Ovis aries: one gene and its partners. The protein of the gene in region 1 interacts with the protein of each later gene in a biochemical or structural test. Links are inferred from orthologs where the notes say so. Each region holds a gene or a part of one and is shown in the gene's direction. Other genes may lie near its edges. The genes, in order: ARF6, ARFIP2 and CYTH2.

Region 1 (2,072 bases):
GAGCGGGCGGTCCGTGAGCCCCACCCCTTGGAGCTCCGTAGAGGATCAGCTCCCCTGGATCGAGTTGGGAGTGGAGGAAGTGAGAGCGCAGAAGAAGGAACGCATAGAGGAAGGAATCGCTAGAGGAGCGACAGACAGGTGGGAGCTAGTCAGAGTCCCAGGTTCGCGGGGGTGCGGGTTGGCCGCACCCGCGAGACCTCCGGGCCGCCGTAGCCCCGCCCCCAGCGCGTGGCGCCCCGACGCTTGGCGCGCGGGCCGCTCTCCTTACAGAGGTCGCTCTTGCCCGAACGGTTGGACTCCCTCTGTTGCGCCTGCGTAGTCGGGAGGGGAAGTGAGGCGGTTTCCTCGGCGCCTTTTCCGGCGGCGGCAGCGGCAGAACTGGGAGGAGGCTGTGGAGGCCGGAGGGAGCCCGCGCGCGGGGCGGCGGCTGGAGGTAACCTCCTGGGCTGAGCTGACGAGGCGGGCCCCCTCGGCTTCCACTCTCCGCTGGGGCTCCCGCAGTAACTCCTTTTTCCCTCTCTGTGTCTCCGCAGGCAGCGCACCGAGTTCCCGCGAGGATCTATGACCTGACCGGGCGCCAGAGCCGCGCTGCCTCTCGGGTGGCCTGGGTCGGTGGTGAGCGCGGTGCTCGCGGACCGGGGACCGGGCCGAAGGGCCGCAGTCTTCCAGGAGAAGGCGGAGGAGCGGGAACCGCGGCGGCGCTCGCGCGGCGCCTGCGGGGGGAAGGGCAGTTCCGGGCCGGGCCGCGCCTCAGCAGGGCGGCGGCTCTCCCGGCGCAGACTCAGCGCCCGGCGGCCGCGGCGCCTGGAGGAATCAAGTTGTGTGGTGGGTGATGCCCGAGTGAGCGGCGGGCCCGGGCCTCTGCCCAGAGGAGGCGACTCCCACGCAGGCCGCACGGGCGCCCTCGCGACTGGGAGGCTCCGTTTCTGTTTCGCGGCTGCGGCGGCGTTGTTGGCGGAGGGGACCCGGGACACCTGAATGCCCCCGGCCCCGGCTCTTCCGACGCGATGGGGAAGGTGCTATCTAAGATCTTCGGGAACAAGGAAATGCGGATCCTCATGTTGGGCCTGGACGCGGCCGGCAAGACAACCATCCTGTACAAGTTGAAGCTGGGCCAGTCGGTGACCACCATCCCCACTGTGGGTTTCAACGTGGAGACGGTGACTTACAAAAACGTCAAGTTCAACGTATGGGATGTGGGCGGCCAGGACAAGATCCGGCCGCTCTGGCGGCATTACTACACCGGGACCCAGGGTCTGATCTTCGTAGTGGACTGCGCCGACCGCGACCGCATCGACGAGGCCCGCCAGGAGCTGCACCGCATTATCAATGACCGGGAGATGAGGGACGCCATAATCCTCATCTTCGCCAACAAGCAGGACCTCCCCGATGCCATGAAACCCCACGAGATCCAGGAGAAACTGGGCCTGACCCGGATTCGGGACAGGAACTGGTATGTGCAGCCCTCCTGTGCCACCTCGGGGGACGGACTCTATGAGGGGCTCACATGGTTAACCTCTAACTACAAATCCTAATGAGCATTCTCCACCCATCCCCCGGAAAGGAGAGAAATCAAAAACCCATTCATAGGATTATCGCCACCATCACCTCTTTCAATTGCCACTTTCTCTTCTTTTGAATTTGAACTCTGGAGTTACAGTTCTGCGGTTTGGGGGAGGGGGTTAGGGATTTTCTTTCTTTTTTTGCTTTGCGTTAGGATGCTCTGATCTGACTTTTTGACATGAACACAAAGTGCTAGATGCTCTTGTTGACTTCCAGCAAATGGGATGGGGGAAATATAGCAGTTCTTGGTAAATTCCTTTATAATAATGGTTTGATTTTTTTATCTCGAGAGAATCTTCTTTTCCAATGTATGCTTTTTTCCTTTTTGCCCAGTTTCCTTATCACTTGCTGTAGATGGCTTATTTTGCATTCATGCAGACTATGTTGCAAGTCTGTTTCATCTAGTAAACTGAAAATTATTGCTTAATCAAACTGCTGTTTGTCTTTTATATTTAAGGCCTTTTCGCCCCCTCTTATGAGTTCTGACTTTAAGTAAATTCAAATGTGAC
Region 2 (2,709 bases), on another chromosome or scaffold:
TCCAGGGTGGGCCCAGCCCCGCCCCCAGCAGCACTCACCTGTGGAGGCAGCCTAAGGGTTTGTACAGAGGCCCAGAAGTGGGAGGTGGTGGGGGAGGCGGCACACTAGGTGCCTCACGAGTAACCCTTCTCTGCATTGACGAGAATGCCTTCTGTGCTCAGCCTAATCAGAGCCCCTCCCTTGCCTGCTGCACTAGCTTTCCCTATTCCAGTCCTGTGAACAGACCCCGTACTCCCACATTCCAGCCCCAGGGTGGCCCCACTAACTTTCTGGCTAAGAGAGCCTTGCTGGAGACAGTCCTGAGTTGTTCCGGTGTCATTGGCTGTTTCCTCCTGGGAGAGGAGGGGGAGGAAGGGCCCTTTAGCTCCAGTCAGGTGGTGACTATTACTCAAGGCCTGTCCCTTCCTTCTGCCAGGAGGAATTTGGCTACAATGCAGAGACGCAGAAGCTGCTGTGCAAGAACGGAGAGACATTGCTAGGGGCTGTGAACTTCTTTGTCTCTAGCATCAACACATTGGTAACCAAGACCATGGAAGACACTCTCATGACTGTCAAACAGTATGAGGCTGCCAGGTGTGGGCACTGGCAGGGCCTAGGGTATTGGGAGTTGGCTGGCATGGGTGAAAGTTTGAGCTTTAGGGGAAAAAGAATTGAGAAAAGTAGGAGAGTATGTGTGGAGGGCAAAGGGGTGGAGACCAGCCCATATCACCCCCTCCCCAGGCTGGAATATGATGCCTACCGGACAGACTTAGAGGAGCTGAGCCTAGGCCCCCGGGATGCAGGGACGCGTGGTCGACTCGAGAGTGCCCAGGCCACTTTCCAGGCCCATCGGGACAAATATGAGAAGCTGCGGGGAGATGTGGCCATCAAGCTCAAGTTCCTGGAAGAAAACAAGGTGCTAACCCCACCCCTTTGACCCAGCCCACCTTTCCATCTGTACCACTGACCTTCCCCTCAAACTCCCCATCACTGAATGGGGAAATGCAACCTGGCTAAGGACTGGGAACATCCCCCAGCCCACTCAATCCCTGGACCTTTCCCTATCACCCTCCCTCTGATCCGTGGCCCTTTTCTATTAGAGGATTTGGCTGCTGATCCCAAGAACACAACTGGGAAAAAACCACCCCTTGAGCTTAGGTGCCAGAACCCCTGGCCCAGCCAGTCAAGTTAGGTTTCTTCTATTACAAGGCTTTTATCCCTTGACTCTCTTGGTGGAGTTCAGCCCCTACTCCAAAAGCACCATCAGAGCAGAGTCCATGTGCCCCTGATCTGGGTTCAGGATCATAGCCCCTCAGAAAGGGTGTCTGAGTCCAGTCTCAGTTGACCCTGCTGGACCCCCAGATCAAGGTGATGCACAAGCAGCTGCTGCTCTTCCACAATGCCGTGTCCGCCTACTTTGCTGGGAACCAGAAACAACTGGAGCAGACCCTGCAACAGTTCAACATCAAGCTGCGGCCTCCAGGAGCTGAGAAGCCCTCCTGGCTAGAGGAGCAGTGAGCCACTCCAGCCCAACCTGGCTATCAAGAAGGACATCGGGAGGGGTAGTCCCAGGGTGGGGGAGATTTGGACCTTGCCACCTGCACTCTGGTTTGGGTTCCCTTTCCCTGGCTGGGGCCTGACAGGGGGCCTGCAGGCCCAGCAGCTGCAGCCCTGTCCTTTATCTTCCTGGCCACTGGGCTTCATTCCCAGATCTTTTCCTTTCACTCCACAGCCAAAGGCTATGACAAAACCACCCCCTGGCCAATGGCATCACTCCTCAGGCCTATCCCCAGTTTCTGGGGTGTGCCCCCTGACCAATGGCAGAGCCTCAAAAGGCCCTGTCAGCCAATGGCAGCTCTTCTTGGGCTCCCCTGGGCCAATGATGTTGCCTCCAGTACCCTTTGTCCCTCCTCAATGCGTGCCCATTGCAGAGAAGGGGACTGGGACCAAAAGGGTGGGGATATGGGGAGCCCCATTTTTGGCCGTGCATCTGAGTGGGTCTCCCCTCACCTGCCCACCCAGTTTAATTGTGCTTAGAGCCCTGGAAGATTGGGGCCTAGCACTAGGAATAAACCTTTCATAAAAGCAGGCCCAGTGAGGTCAATTTGTGGGGGATTCTAGGAGGGTGGTCTGGGTGGATAAATGCTCAGTCTAATACATCAAAATCCTGCCATTTCAGGAGAGCTGGGGCCAGATAGCTGAAGTCACAGGTTTCTGGAGAGCCTAGTCCCCTCCCCCAGCCCCAGAAGGAGCCAAAGCTTTATTTGCCCTTTAGGCTTGTGCCAGGAGAGCAATGTGTCTTAAAACACAGGGCCCAGAGGGGGTTGGGCCTACCAACCTCCATCATCTGTTCATTCATACAGCAAATATTTACTGTACTGAATGCTTTCATTTGCTGCTGCTAGACCCTGGGGAGACATCAGGGAATAAAACATGGTCCCTGCCCACAGTGCTTACGGCCTAGTGGGGGATAGAGGCAAGTAACCAGGCAACTGCAATACAGTGATAAATACTAGGATACAGAAGTGTGGGGAGCTATGGGAGCACCGAGGATGGGTGCTGGATGGAGCCTAGATGGATGGAGGTGGGGGTGTCAACTTGAAAGGTGAGAACTGAGGGTAACTAAATGACCAGGTAAAGAGTAAGGGGAAGAGCATCTTAGGCAAAGGTGTCAGTGGATGTGAAGGCCCTGAGTAGGAATTGGGAGGAATTAGCTTGGCAGAAATGAAG
Region 3 (3,364 bases), on another chromosome or scaffold:
TGTTGGGGGTGTGTGGGGACTATCTGGACTCCAGGGTGCTTGGGACCTTCTGTGAAGTCTGGGAAACCTGGGGACCATCGGTGCACATCCGGGACATGTGGAGGCCGTCTGAAATGTCTGAGGTGCACAGGACTGTGAGATGCCCAGGGTTTGTGTGGACATCTGGGTTCTGTGGAACCTTCTGGATATCTGTGGCGCAGAGACCGTCTGGGGACAGCTGGAGGGCATGGGGACTGGAGAGTCTGGGAGCATGGGCGTCATTTCTAGCTGTCTGGGGATCGCTTGTGACATCTGGGGTGCATAGGGACAGTCCGGTTGTCTGACATTGTGGGGCTGGTTTTGTGGGCATCTGGGTTGCCCTGGGACTCTCCGTGGGTCTCTAGGGGATAGGAGGCCATCTCTGGGCATCTATGAAATCTGGGGTTCATCAGAGATGACCAGCAGAGCACATTTGCTGTGTTTCTCCCAACTGCACAGAGTTCCAGCCACACCAGAGTTCTTAAGGCAGATGGTCTTCCCAGGAGCGTTCTAAGTGTCCCTACCCCTGTGCCAGGCTGGTGATGGGGGCTTGGCCAAAACTTTCACTGGCTACAGAGGTAGCCACTGTGCAGAAGAGGGGCCACAGCCTCCTCAGTACTTCGCCTCCTCTCTACCCCCACTTGCCCAAGCCCCTTCCTGCCCGTGACCTTGTCCCTATCCTCCCAGGGAAGAGCTGAATCTGGCAGTGCTTCATGCCTTCGTGGATCTGCACGAGTTCACTGACCTCAACCTGGTGCAGGCCCTCAGGTGAGGAGGATGGGATTGAAAAGGCAGGAAGGGACCTGTCAGGGCTTTCTTTACCAGTGATGATCACCCCCTCCTGAAGGCAAAAACAGAACGAAAACTTAGGGGATGGATTGCACGTGAGTGTTGCCAAAGTCCACAGTAGAGCCTCCTTCAGGCATAGCCGTATCCAGGCACTTGAATGGAATGGGAAGGACAGCTTTTGATTGTGCTCGCCATGGGGTGGGCGCTGCTCGCAGCAGACCCTCCTCCCACGTGACGGCAGAGGCCCCAAGCAACCATCTGTTCCATGCAGCAACCTTGGTAGAAAGCAAGGGCGTTTGCATATACATCATCCAGAGCTCCTGGCCGGTGCTCAGTGGTCAGGTTGGCCACAGGTGTGGCGCCCTCACTGGCCAGTTCCTCCCACGGGCACTGAGAGCAGGTGGGGCACCCCACCAGTTCTGGATCTACCCTCGGCTCGTCTCTGCCGCAGGCAGTTCCTCTGGAGCTTCCGCCTCCCTGGAGAAGCCCAGAAGATCGACCGCATGATGGAGGCCTTTGCCCAGCGCTACTGCTTGTGCAACCCTGGGGTTTTCCAGTCCACAGGTAGGGACCCAGACCCTAGGGTCCTGGGGAAGGAGGGAGCTGGGGGTGGGGGGGGACTTGAGCTCCTGAGTCCCGGGGGCTCGCATGCCCCAGTCGTCACCCCATGACTGTCTGGTGCAGACACGTGCTACGTATTGTCTTTCGCCGTGATCATGCTGAACACCAGCCTCCACAACCCCAACGTCCGGGACAAGCCGGGACTGGAGCGCTTCGTGGCCATGAACCGGGGCATCAACGAGGGCGGGGACTTGCCTGAGGAGCTGCTCAGGGTCAGGCCCCCTCCCCAGCCCCCTCAGCTCTATCCCCCTTTCTCTCAGTGCCTGAGCCCCCTTCCACCCAGGATCACTGCCTCGCCCACCCATGGACTGCATGGTCACACTGGCCTGCCCAAGTCTTCTCTCTCTCTCTCTCTGGCTGCCTGTCTTTGTCTGTTTTTCATTTTATTTTTTCTTCTTTTGCGCCAGGCAGTATGTGAGATCTTAGTTCCCAACCAAGGATTGAACCCAGGTTCCTGGCCCTTTGACTCTTTGAGGGCCTTGGTCTGTCCCATTTTCCCCCGTCTGTCTGTCTCTCTCAGAACCTAGCAGCTCTTCCACTGTCTCCATCTCTGCATCTTTTTTGTTTCTCCCTCTCTCCTCGCCGGAGCTCCCTCCACTCTTCCCCCTTCTACGTCCCTTTCCTCCCCAGGCTCCTCCCTCCCTTGGCCATCCCACCCGTGGTCTCACTGACTCCCAGTGAGCCCCATCCCCACTGCAGTGGCCCTTGGAGGATCCCAGGAGCTCTGAGGTGCTGACTGTGCCTTCACCCCTCAGAATCTGTACGACAGCATCCGAAACGAGCCCTTCAAGATCCCTGAGGATGACGGCAATGATCTGACCCACACCTTTTTCAACCCGGACCGGGAGGGCTGGCTCCTTAAGCTGGGTACGTCCCTTCCTGACTGCTGGCTGCCTCTGAAAGTGGGGGAAGTTAGCAGGCCCAGGTTTTAGACTCAGCTTTCGCACATAGCCACTGTGTGACCTTAGGACAATGATTTGACCTCTCTGAACCTCAGTAGCCACATCTGAAAAGTGGGGTTGAGAACGAGATCGGGTCTCTTGTGTTGGGCCCAAGCCCGGGGCTGGCCTTGGAATCGGTGCTGCCTCACCCCTTCTGTTCACCCACACAGGTTTATGAAACCCCTCCTCCGTGCCGGGCCCTGGTGTAGGGACTGAGGACACAGCCAAGAACCAAAGGGCACAGGCCATGTCTGCTGGGAGAGTGTTCATGACTCAGGCTGCCCTCAGCTGTAGCAAACAGAACAACCCAAGCAACTGGGCCTTTTACCTTGCTTGTCAGGAACTCTCGGGGAGTCCGCGGCAGACCCACTCTGAGACTCCTGTATTTTTATCCCCACCTCCTGTGGCCTCCTCCTCAGCCCTGTAGCATCGTGGCTGTTCTAGAAGTGTCCTCCCTCCCCAGATGTCACCTGTAGGCAGTAAAGAGCCTGCAGAAACGGTCCCGGAATGCCCCGATGCACTTCTCGGCTGGTCGGATTGGTTCCTAGTGGGGATGGGAAGAGCTTCCCAGGTGGCACTAGTGGTAAAGAACCCTCCTGCCAACACAGGAGACTTTAGAGACAGGGAGTTTGATCCCTGAGTTGGTAAGATTCCCTGGAGGAGGTCATGGCAACCCACTCCAGTATTCTTGCCTGGAGAATTCCATGGACAGAGGAGCCTGGCAGGCTACAGTCCATGGGGTCACAGAGTCAGACACGACTGAAGTGACTTAGCACACACTTGGAGAGGGGATGCACCTTGGCTGACAGGAGAATTGGGAGCCCCTGGCTACGGTGGGATGGGTGGGACAGGGGCCGGTCCCCCTTGGAACATGTGGCACCAGCGGACTCTGGTTCAGTTAGCAGAGGTCCGGCAAGGGCAGCTGGCTGAGGGTTGGAGCGGCTCTCCACTCCGGCTGCCTGGGAGATTCACCTGGAAACCACAGGGGCCAGGCC

The links.
Region 2: the proteins of ARF6 (region 1) and ARFIP2 form a complex in vitro, tested with the Homo sapiens proteins (2 studies listed by BioGRID). The link is inferred for Ovis aries from reciprocal best matches to the Homo sapiens genes ARF6 and ARFIP2.
Region 3: the proteins of ARF6 (region 1) and CYTH2 form a complex in vitro, tested with the Homo sapiens proteins (3 studies listed by BioGRID and IntAct, with this or other methods). The link is inferred for Ovis aries from reciprocal best matches to the Homo sapiens genes ARF6 and CYTH2.

Annotation. Positions count from the first base shown.
Region 1 is NC_056060.1:41,107,680-41,109,751, forward strand, and holds ARF6 (ADP-ribosylation factor 6), read left to right. Parts: upstream 1-1,007; coding exon 1,008-1,535; downstream 1,536-2,072. UniProt on the Homo sapiens protein: GTP-binding protein involved in protein trafficking that regulates endocytic recycling and cytoskeleton remodeling. GTP-bound form plays an important role in the transport of multiple palmitoylated proteins form the Golgi to the plasma membrane.
Region 2 is NC_056068.1:46,314,272-46,316,980, forward strand, and holds the end of ARFIP2 (arfaptin-2), read left to right. Parts: intron 1-415; coding exon 416-916; 3' UTR 917-1,341; coding exon of another isoform or gene 1,342-1,497; 3' UTR 1,498-2,067; downstream 2,068-2,709. UniProt on the Homo sapiens protein: Plays a role in constitutive metalloproteinase (MMP) secretion from the trans Golgi network. May have important functions during vesicle biogenesis at certain cargo subdomains, which could be predominantly utilized by secreted MMPs, such as MMP7 and MMP2.
Region 3 is NC_056067.1:54,900,665-54,904,028, forward strand, and holds part of CYTH2 (cytohesin-2), read left to right. Parts: intron 1-705; coding exon 706-786; intron 787-1,258; coding exon 1,259-1,371; intron 1,372-1,491; coding exon 1,492-1,640; intron 1,641-2,183; coding exon 2,184-2,295; intron 2,296-3,364. UniProt on the Homo sapiens protein: Acts as a guanine-nucleotide exchange factor (GEF). Promotes guanine-nucleotide exchange on ARF1, ARF3 and ARF6. Activates ARF factors through replacement of GDP with GTP.